3 linked regions of the Astyanax mexicanus genome follow. The protein of the gene in region 2 purifies or fractionates together with the protein of the main gene of each other region. This does not show direct contact. Links are inferred from orthologs where the notes say so. Each region holds a gene or a part of one and is shown on either strand. Other genes may lie near its edges.

Evidence for each region. Proteins that work in one complex are often made in the same cells at the same time.
Region 1: the proteins of ppp2r2d (region 2) and ecsit purify together in Homo sapiens (affinity purification with mass spectrometry; 3 studies listed by BioGRID and IntAct, counting the BioPlex papers as one, with this or other methods). This does not show direct contact. The link is inferred for Astyanax mexicanus from reciprocal best matches to the Homo sapiens genes PPP2R2D and ECSIT.
Region 3: the proteins of ppp2r2d (region 2) and ier5 purify together in Homo sapiens (affinity purification with mass spectrometry; 3 studies listed by BioGRID and IntAct, counting the BioPlex papers as one, with this or other methods). This does not show direct contact. The link is inferred for Astyanax mexicanus from reciprocal best matches to the Homo sapiens genes PPP2R2D and IER5.

What each region holds. Positions count from the first base shown.
Region 1 is NC_064415.1:31,116,217-31,119,970, forward strand, and holds the start of ecsit (evolutionarily conserved signaling intermediate in Toll pathway, mitochondrial), read right to left. Parts: upstream 2,366-3,754; 5' UTR 2,189-2,365; intron 1,382-2,188; 5' UTR 1,364-1,381; coding exon 1,229-1,363; intron 649-1,228; coding exon 240-648; intron 1-239. Other genes in the region: eml3 (echinoderm microtubule-associated protein-like 3), read left to right, coding at 3,628-3,652.
Region 2 is NC_064422.1:11,981,504-11,985,257, reverse strand, and holds the start of ppp2r2d (serine/threonine-protein phosphatase 2A 55 kDa regulatory subunit B delta isoform), read right to left. Parts: upstream 2,858-3,754; 5' UTR 2,619-2,857; coding exon 2,612-2,618; intron 2,265-2,611; coding exon 2,190-2,264; intron 1-2,189. UniProt on the Homo sapiens protein: Substrate-recognition subunit of protein phosphatase 2A (PP2A) that plays a key role in cell cycle by controlling mitosis entry and exit. Involved in chromosome clustering during late mitosis by mediating dephosphorylation of MKI67.
Region 3 is NC_064423.1:15,820,934-15,824,560, forward strand, and holds ier5 (immediate early response gene 5 protein), read right to left. Parts: upstream 2,537-3,627; 5' UTR 2,092-2,536; coding exon 1,243-2,091; 3' UTR 627-1,242; downstream 1-626. UniProt on the Homo sapiens protein: Plays a role as a transcription factor. Mediates positive transcriptional regulation of several chaperone genes during the heat shock response in a HSF1-dependent manner. Mediates negative transcriptional regulation of CDC25B expression.

The DNA.
Region 1 (3,754 bases), on a different chromosome or scaffold from region 2:
TAAATGTGAAGCTTTAGTATTCTAAAACTTAAAGACATATTACCCATTCAGGAGACTATAGAAGTAGATATTTCAATATGTTTCTTTTTTTTTTTTTTGTAACAAAGATTATGTGCTGGTTTGCATTCTGGCCTATTCTTTTTTTTTTAACTGATACCCCCAGCCTAGCAAATTCCATGAGATGTGATTAATAAGTATTAAGTAAGTTTTGGGCCAAAGAAAAGGTAAACACAACCCACCATAATTTTCCATCTGCTCCAGCACCTGCACTGCACACTCCTGCTGCCTGGGATAGTGATTGAACATCCTCTGAATAAAGTTTCGAGGCACAAAAACCTCTTTGGGAAACACATCCAGCAGTTTATTGTAGACAGCAAGGTCCCGCTCTACGCCGAACTCTGGCATTTTCTGTAGAGCAGCATAAATAAACTCGACATGTCCACGGCGCCTGATGTCCTGCTTGTTGAAGACATCAACCACTCTGTTGAAACTGGCTTTATTCTTTGCATCTTTAGCTGTTCTCTCAAACAAGTCATCATGTGTGACCAAAGACTTGGCCTTCGTTTCATTTTCAAATAACTTGCTCAGATCTGAATTGTCCGGCTTGTCCTTGTAAACTGTGGAACCACAATGAATCCATCTTGCCTCCTTAAAACAAAAGAAAAAACAGCACATGTAGAAATACATATTCAAACAAACATATATAGACACCAGCTCTTTCATTTTCTTAAATCTAGTTTATCTAGTCCCAGTTGAGGTAACAATCTCCAACATCCAGGAAAGCACACAAGACATTTTAGAGCACTGCTGTGAAAATATGATTGAATTCTGTGACCAAAAAAAAAAGTTAGTAAAGGTAGAACGTTGGAAGATCACCACCCTGCCTCCTCATCTCCATTTCCCTAACTCATCCAAACAGTACGGAAAAAGGCACAATAATTCCAGAGAACACAATCCTGCTGATCCACAGCTCAATGCCTGGTGAGTTAGCTGGTTAGCAGTCTAGCCCACACCTTGATTAGGCATGGTGCAAACAGTGTATTTGTGTATCTGATCCAGAGAGTCCTGTTCTATTGGGTGCAATTTAAGGCAGCTGAATGCATTCATTAGAAGGAGTGTCCACAAATATTTGGACAAAAAGTGTAGCATCTGTGTAAAAATCCTGCTAATCTGCTAGTTCATGTCGTACTTTTAAACTGTCAACACAAACAGTCAAGTAAATACTTACTTGACCAATGCAGATACGTGGGATTGGGGGCCGCAGGAGAGCCGCATGAAAACAGCTGGGCTTGATAGGTGTCTTGACGAAAAGAGTGATCCACCCAGCATGCTGGGTTCGCATGAGAAATCTAGTGATCTTCATGGTGAGATTTCATTATTTCTGCAAAGATAATTGAATAGAATAGGACTTACTTCACTTAAGTTTACTTCACTTAACAAATATTAATAATCAATAATCAATCATCAATATCGCATACAGTAAAAATGAAACAAATCTGAAAACAAGGCAGTATAATATTTCTATTTTCTATCCCAATTCACGATAATGAAATGTACCTATAAAAACAAAGAAAGAAATCCTTACAGTAGCTAGTTAGGTTTCTAAAATCATTTAATATACAAATGTGAGTTTACATAAACATGGCTTGTAAACGGATTAATCTTGATTAATCTTATCTAACATAAATAGTTACACAGAGTACTGTAGTTATAGAAAATGAACAGCTATAACAATAGTGATACAGCTAACTAGCTAACTAATGCATAAGGAATTATGTAGTATTACATAACACGTATAAAATATTACATTTAACATTAGCAACCTAACTCTTATAGAATTAGGCAATTATAACTAATATACAGCTAAAAATGATGATATAATTTACAGCTGCTCTAATCCACTCATAGCTAGAATAATGTGGTTACAGTTTAAACCAAAGCACTGACATTGCACATGCAGTTAACTGGTATAACTGGGTAACGTTAGATAAACAGCTCCTTTGATTTTACCAAATTGAAAACCTCTGAAGTGGTCTCTTATTTTTTTCAGAGTTGAAGTTATCTGAAGTTAATGTAGTTATTTAATACGGGCAGGTCCGTAACTGACCCTGTGCCGGAGCCGGTAGGTTAACCCGGGTTAACATGGTGTATTAATACAGTGTGTGTGTGTGTGTGTGTGATTATTTACCGTGGTCAGGCTGGTAGATAGTGTCCCGTGGTGCAGTCTGAGTCTGGACTCGGTTTAAAGGCGGTTTAATGGAGCTGTAGCTCTAAATCTCCAGCGGTCACATCTCCTTCACAACACGCCGCCATAACCCAGCTATACTTCGGCTAGGTGTTCCGTCGAGTTGTGCTATCCATCGATACGTGCTTCCTAAACGCACTGCGCATGCGCTAACCTACAGTTATTAATTATTTCTCGTGTAATAAATAAATAATAAAAAAAAATTCTGTTTTTTGTGCATTAAACAACAACGACTCCTTGCCACTGCATAAAAAGTACAAATGGAAATTAATAATAATAAATACAATAATTATTTTTTTTTTAATACAAAAGTAGTTTCTAATGACCTCTCACTGTCACAACTATACAAACTGTACAATAATACAGTGATTTATACTCTCCACAGATTTACATAGACTTCCGCTGAGAACATGCTCTAATAAGGTGCTTCTTTTGCATTTTTAAAGTTAAACATACTACTAGGGTAGCACGGTTTGACAAGGTAGCACAACTCGACTGAACACCGGTCCGTCCTCTGTCCTCACACACTCACAGGAAACATTCACCTTCTGCTTATAGTTCCGCCGCTTTAGTTCCGCACCAGGAAATCACGGAGACCATCCTAAAATAATCACCTAATCAACTTATTTTCAATTTTTTTTTCAGGAAACACAAAACAACACATGAATAGAAACAAAACCTAATTCGTTTTTTTTTTTAATAATATTGATACCAAAAACAGACAAAAGAACATTGTAATATTGGTATTGGTTTAGTGTTTTTCTCTCTGGCGCCCTCTAGGCTGTTGCAGGGCTGTTGCGACCTCATGTCTCCTCTTGTCCTGGCTGTTGTTTGCAGCATCGTCGGCAGGGGACGCAGTGAACTGGCAGTTTTACAGTCAAAACTTTTCTGCTTTTCTTTTTTTTGGTTATTTTCCTGGGCTGAACTGGAGCTGTGGCGCCTCGCTTCAGCGGGAGTTTAGATAAGTGAGTTCTGAGTCTCAGTAATGAGAGGGGGGAATAGTTTGCGTGAACATAGTTAACTGGATTACAGCTTTTATATCTCTTGCATGGATTAAAAAATCCATCCGCACAGTCATAGACACACTCATACTCTCTCTCTCTCTCCTCATCGCGCACTTGCTCGCCTCCGCAGCTGCGCAGCTCATTTCCTGGGTTGGGGAGTTTGGAGTGGTCTTGCATTTCTTCACTTCACGCACACGCACGTGCGCTCCTGTCCACACTGTGTGTGAGTGTGTTTTAAGACTTGAGGACCGCGGATCTTAAACGCCGTACTGATTTTTATATTGGGCAGGAATGGACTGCACTTCTCCCAGCATGAGCTGCTACTTCCGAGAGGTGTGAACAGCAGCGGCGGCGGCGGCGGCAGCGCGCGACTCCGACATGGATGGATCAACAAACAGCCTCGGTGAGTAACTCCCTCCCTCACTCTGTAGCCGCTCTTCAGCTGAGCACCCTGCTCTCAGTCTGTCTCTCAGAGCCGCTGTCACTCCGCTTCACACACACCACA
Region 2 (3,754 bases):
GAGTGAACAGCCTCAGAAGTTTGTGTACTGAGGTGCATTAACAAACAATCTCAACATTCAACAAGTTTGGAGAAAAGAAAATCCATTATCGATATTTTCTATTAATACAACTAATAATTGATGTCAATCATAATCAGCAAAACACTGATCAATTATGGGTTAATAGATTTTCTCAAAACTGAGCATCTCACAATAAACCACCCTACACACACAAAATTCCTTTTTAATTTTTTTTTATTTCACATCATTCTGGCCCCGGATTGGACAGAATTGTATGCATGCAGTGAGCAGAGCGCTGTACTCATTTCAATGTGTGATATTTCTGAATATGTCTGTCTCTGCTCGTCCTATGCGTGACCTCACACAGCGACACAACAGCAGCTACACACGTCTCAGAGTAAACTCACGCTACAGACACGCAAACAACAGATCACTGCACTGACCTTACAATAATACAACACAAATACACCACTCTATAGAAGAAGAAAAGGAGAAGCAGCTCTATTGCACATTTCATTGTTTAAAGGGGAAAGAACCTTGTAACTTCAAAGAAATGATCCAAATAAACTATTTTACACCAATTTTATAAAAATCAGTTTCTCTGATTTTGCTATTTATAGGTTTATGTTTGAGTAAAATTAACATTGTTGTTTTATTCTATAAACTACAGACAACATTTCTCCCACATTAAAATATTCTCATTTTGCGCATTTATTTGCAGAAAATGAAAAATGGCTGAAATAACAAAAAAGATGCAGAACTTTCAGACCTCAAATAATATACATACAGTTCAGAAATCAATATTTGGTGGAACAACCCTGGTTTTAAATCACAGTTTGTTCATGCATCTTGGCATCATGTTCTCCTCCACCAGTCTTACACACTGCTTTTGGATAACTTTATGCTGCTTTATTCCTGGTGCAAAAATTCAAGCAGTTCAGTTTCAAGTTTTTGTATCAAAATTTCCTGATAGATGGATCAACAGAAATTAGCCAAATAAATTATATTAAACTACTGAATACTAGACTACTGGAAGATTAAATATTTCACTAGAACATTACTTTAAAAAGTCTATTCAAAAACTTACTGCATTTTATACAGTCACATATACACACATATATACACAGTTTGGACACACAGTCCAAACTGCTTGAGGTCTAGTGTAAAGTTTCCACCAATCAGTGATTGTTTAGAGAGACATGTCTGTCATCTGCTGATGTTGATCAACTGTGTTTTATTATCAATTCAATATTTCTGTGATTTTATTTTTGGAGGTGCAGATTTCATTTTCCAGCAGGACTTGGCACACTGCCAAAAGTACCAGTTGGTCTTATATATAATATTCGAATTTTCTGAGACACTGATATTTTGGGAGTTTTCATTGGCTGTAAGCTTCATAATCATCAACAATAAAAGAAATAAACGCTTAAAATAGATCACTTTGTGTGTTTAATGCATATATAATATATGAGTTTCACATTTTTAACTAGATTACTGAAATAAAGTAAAAGCCTATGATCCACCTCCTCCCTGCAGCTGCCCTACAGCCCTGTCTGTGCTGGAGTGTGAGGTGAGAGGAACATGGCACTGAATCATCCCTCTCTTCCCATCCCTCCACACAGCGCCCGCCTGCACGCGCGCGCGCACACACACACACACACACACACACACACACCCGAGGCTCGAGCTATGGGCTCGGGTTTGGCTCGTGCGTAAAGACGCACTGGCTGAACGAGCTGGACGAGTTCTATTTTCCATGCTGAGAAATTACGAACACAAATTGCATGGCCTAACCAGCTCCCTGCACCCTCCTCCTCCTCCTCCCTAGTGCTACTACTTCCCATAGTCGCGCGCACAGGCTAATGCTAATGCTAAAGCTCAGGCTAATGCTAATACTCAGACTAATGCTAAGGCTAACGCTAAGCAAGCACGAGTCTCTGTCAGCAGTCAGCGAGCGGCTAGTTAGCCACCTTAGCTAGAGAAGACATATGCACATATAGCTAACCTAGCTAACTAGCTCATATATGTGCATGCACCGGGGTGCATGCACGCTTAAATAAACTAACGTTAAACACCCGCGTGCGTGCGTTCGTTCTTGCACTAAACCAGCAGCAGCAGCACATCAACACCACAGTTACGCTGGTTTAGATGCATATAAAGATGCAGATAGAGGCACGCGCCGGGCTTACCTTCCGCCACATCCTCGTCTATGGCCCCCTTCACCTGCGAGAAACACCACTGGAAATCGTTCCCTCCTCCGACCCCTGCAGCGGCGCGCGGCGCAGAAACACACAGAGAACACACACACACATTTCAGTGCACTGCGATTATGAACAGTACAGTACAGTGTGTGTATATGTGTACATATATGTGTGTGTGTGAATGCATGGGTGCTTGATTGAATGATTGATTGTTTGTGTTCTGCAGAAATAGAGAAATACAGAGACATTGTGATAGATGGGGAGAGAGAGAGAGGGAGGGAGAGAGAGACAGGGGGGTCCAGGCCGGGTGAAGTAGCAGTTCAGTCCGGGTAACCAGCAGCCTCCTCCCGCCTCCTCTCCTCTCCTCCTCCGCTGCTGCTCCTCCGCCTCCTCCAAACTTCAGCTCTAACCTGCCATCGCGTCGCTCCGCAGCAGCAGCAGCAGATCTGTCCCCGGCCCCCGGCTCTCTCTCTCTTTCTCCGGCCGCGAGTTCCCGCCGGTCTTCCGCTGCCCGTAACGGGGAATCGCAGCGCAGGCCCAAACCGTGGAGAAGCTCCGCTCCGGTCCGGTCGGGTCCGATCAGCGCGCCGCGCGCATCGCCCGAGATTTCTTATTCCTCTCAAGATGGCGCACGCGGCCAGTCGACATGATGCCCGTGACGTCACCCCCGACCGGGGGCGCGCGCAGCGTCATGATAATAATAATAATAATAATAATAATAATAATAATAATAATAATAATACTTAATATGTAATACTTAATATACAAAATATACAATGGAAAAGTAGTGAGGTTGTTATGTGAAAAAAGTAGTCAAGAAAAAGATTGCAATAAAAAGTTAATAATAATAATAATAATAATAATAATAATGACGCACAAATTACTCAATCACTCTAATAACTTATGTGATAAATTCAAATATATCAATTTTTTAAAGCACAAAAGTAACAAAGACAGAGTTATTAAGAAATTATTTAGAACTCGTTAATAATAATAGTCATTCATATCATACCTTTTTTCACATCATTGTTTTGCTCTCTCATTATTTTGAGATACTAAGTCATTATTTTTATTATTTTGTATCTTAAAATAAAGATGTATCTCAAAAAAACTATTTTTTTATCTTAAAATAATAAATTTCAAAATATCAATTTAGTAAGGGCAGCCATTAACTTAATAATATGTGCTGAATTATTTAGGTGGAGGGAATAGAGCTGGTGCAAGAATTATAATATTTTATCAGTTACTTCTGAAAGAATTTAAGGTAAACCAGAACCATAAAATCTATTTTGGCAGAACATTTTACAGTTTATACAGCTAGACTCCAGCTTCTATAATTAAGATGAGAAGTTCCTCTTACACCTTTTTCCTAACAGCTAATTCAACATTATTACTCAGTTTACTGGTTAGCAATAACATTGCTCTTAGCATGTAGCTAACTGATAGTGAGCTAACCTAGCCTGTGTTAGCTTAGCATCACTATAGCTAAGGCTACCTTACCTAAAGTTAGCTCAGAATCGCTAGCGTTAACATAGCTATAGCTATAGCTCAGT
Region 3 (3,627 bases), on a different chromosome or scaffold from region 2:
TGTAAAACATATCTTAATACCTTTTATAAACTTTAAAATAACCCAATTTGAGCATAACATAAGTAAATAAGACGTCTTTCTCTCATGTTAAACAGCCCTAAACAGTCTGAGTCAGGCTGGGCTTTAGAGTCTGCACTGAAACTAAACCCCACATACCACACATGCTTCAGGGCACAATGGCTCATTTTACAACAGGCCGGCTGAAGACAGAAAGTGTTTCAGTAGAACAGAGCCTGAGCACTTTAAGCATTTCTTCTCTTTTCACTGGTATTGTTCTCAGGCACGGGTCTTCCCAGGTTTGGCTGGATTTAAAAGTAAGTGTGGGAGGGTTGTCTACTTTAAACTGTGCATTTAAGATAATGTATTTCGATAGCTGGAATTTTCTTTGCAAGTTTGGCTCTCAGAATGTGTAGCAGGTCTGAGTCATAGTCTGACAGTAGTCATAAAAAACAATGTTACATCACTTTCGAAACTTGAGTAATATTTCTCAAAACAGGAGGAAGTAATTTGCATTTTGTGCCAGCAGATTCCTGAACAATACTTTAGCTACAGTCTAGCTTCAGCGGCCGAGATGTTTGGTCTACTCAGAAGTGTGTCGCTGGAAAGAAACATAAAACAAAGCAAAATCATTTCACAAAAGTTTAATACGTGATCACCACGTAAATTGTCATCATAGTAAATACCAAAATACATAGATTCATAATGCAACATCAGAGGCAGTATGTACAAGAACAATGTTACAAATGTACAGGTCTTTTTAAAACAAAGACAGAGAAAACCAGCACCCAAAGTCTGGTAGACCGTTGTTGTGGTCAGTTCTTACATCAGCGTAACATTTAACTTTGTACAGATGTCATTAGCATAACATTTCACACTCGTCACCCATTCAGACTGCTGGAGTACTGAATGAAGCGACCACCCCCCTCTCTCCACTGCAGGGCTGTAAATGTTCAAATTCACTCCAGTGGCCTCCTCATTCCTTTGACACGGCAGGGCTCTACGTAGCAGTACCAGCATGTTCACATTCTTTCCTTTACAAAGGCATGTCCAAACACACCAGGCCCAGTTTGTGCTTGGTAGCACCACTTATGTAGGGGAAGTCCCATACCACACACATACATGCCTCACCACGTGTTATGGGGGGAACCCAGTCTAGAAGTACAGCACAAAAATGGCCATGTGTGAATGTTACAGGTTTCCTTTTTTAAAACCACACTTCCACCAAAGTTCTGTGATTGGTTTTTAAAAGGCCACGATGGCCGTGCTCCAAGGGTTCAGGTTCTTTAGCATTTGGTCACAGCAGATCTGCCCTGACCCTGAATCACTGTCTTCTGTTTCTGCTTCAGGCTCAGAGCTCTCCTTGGTTAAAAGTCCTGAAAAACTAGAGCCAAAGATTGTGATGAGATTAGAGACATTGCCCGTGTCCATCTCCTCCGCTTCCTCCTCAGAGGAGTTTGAGGAAGTCACCTTTGTCCGTTTTACAGGAGAGTCATTGCTGGCTGTCTTCTCAGCAGTGCGCTTCCTGTTTGAACAAGAGTGAGCTTTCGGTGGTTGCTGTGAATTCCCTTCTGTGACCGTGGCGGGGTTAGCATCCGCCTCACAGTCCGAAGAACTCACTTCAGCTCCTTTAGCTTCACATTGAGATTCACAGGTCACAGGAGAAGATGTGAGAGAAACATCAGTAGTAGAATCCTCTGAGGAAGACTCCTCTTCGGCCTGATGTTTGGAGTAGACGCTGTGGAGATCTGTGGAGTCTTCCACAGCCTGGCTGGTGTGCTGAACCTCAGGATCCTCTGGAACCACAGGATTCTGGTTGCAGTCAGTTGATGGGGACAGAGATTCCTCAGGGGCTGGAGTGAGTGGCTTCTCCTGGTTGGAATCCATCAGCTCCCACTCCTTGGCCTCAACATGCTGGGTGTTGAGGCAAACCCCACTGTAGTAATCACTCAGATACACTTGGCGTGCACTTCTGAGCACCAGAGACACCAGGAGGTTTTTGTGGAGCTTGATGCCTCCTCGTTGAACCCGGGAGTTGTAAATTTTCCCCAGGGAGATACTCATTATCCGATGGGCCTCCACTTTATACTCCATGGTCAGGCTCGATTCAGGAACACTCGAAGCAAAATAAATACAAGCAGTTTCAAAGTTCAGCTCCAGTCAGAGAAGGCTTGTCAGCAGGCTTGTTCTCCTTCAAGTGTGAGTCTCATTGAAACATTGTCCATCCAAAAACGTCAAAAGAAATGGTCCAACAAGCTTTAGAAACACTCACTTGGTCTTCAAGTAGTTTTTAAATGAAAATAAAACCTATTTTAAAATAAAAGAAGCCTTACAATTCCTCTAATTTAGGAAAAAATATGGTTCTCTACTCGTTTTATCAACTTGATACGATAAATAAAACCAACCGCCACATTTCTGTGGTTAAAGAACGTAATACTGATAATTCTATGTTATTGGGTTATACTATAAGCCTGCATTACCTTCCGTACGGTCTCTCTCACCCAACAACAGCCTAGAGAGGAATGAGACCGTTTCTATATTTAGACCGCTTTTATACCCGGACGTAACGGCTACGCTGACCAATCACATCGCGCGCTGAACGCCACCGACGCTGTCAACCACGCCCCGCGAAACCACTGCGGACCAATCGGAACGCGGGATGCAGATTAGTCATATTTAAATACTAACGTGGGAGAAAAATTTAAAGAGACCGAAATGTTTTTAGGCTGAGCAACCGAATTATTACTAAAAACATCAATGAAAAATTAAATAACTAAAAAAATTACGTGTAAAATTAACAGCAGTATTTTTGGGCTCTTAGACTGTAATTATCTTCTGATGGTGGCTATAAACACTGAGGATCTGTATTATCATTTATAAAACGACTGATACGAGTCTAAAATCATGCTTACAAACATAAATATAGCTAAAACGGTGAAATGGTGGTTTTCTTTTTAAAATACAACTCACTTTGTAAAATCTCACAGACTGTGCTATTTTAAGGCGTGCAATGTCTTGTTTTTGACCGCTGTTAAATAAAAATGGCCGTGTCCCCTTTAACTCTCCTTGCTTTCAGCCAACATCCTGGACTGATGTAATGGTTTGTGTCTCCTACAGGCGGGTCACGTGGTCCTATTGTGCAAATCCTCTGCGGTGTCTGAGCAAATGTGAATGGGAGCCGTTAGTGAGGGGGAGGGGAGGCGGTGTTTTGTTTCAGGACCCAGCTAAAGCCCAATGTGACACCAGACTGAAATAGCTGAACGCCTCGCGAAGGCTTAATACATTTAAATACGCAGCGGTCCTCTGGTAAACAATTCCAGGTTATCTTTCCCACTGTGTGCTCGATATAGGTCACAACCCGCAAAACACCGCGCGGGGAAAAGCAGGGAGTGACGTAACACGTTTTGTGTTTACAGTGTGTGTGGAGGAGAGTGTGAGAACCCTGCTAAAAAACACAGCCCAGCTGATTTCAGATAGTCTGGACTGGTATGTACTGGTCAAGGCGAATAAAATAAGCTGGTGATTCAGGTGAAAACATACCCTGGTTAATCAGCTCAGCTCTGGCCAATTATAAGTGTATTTTTCATAATGTTAATGGACTGGTTTTTCAGCCTGACCAATTCAACAAAG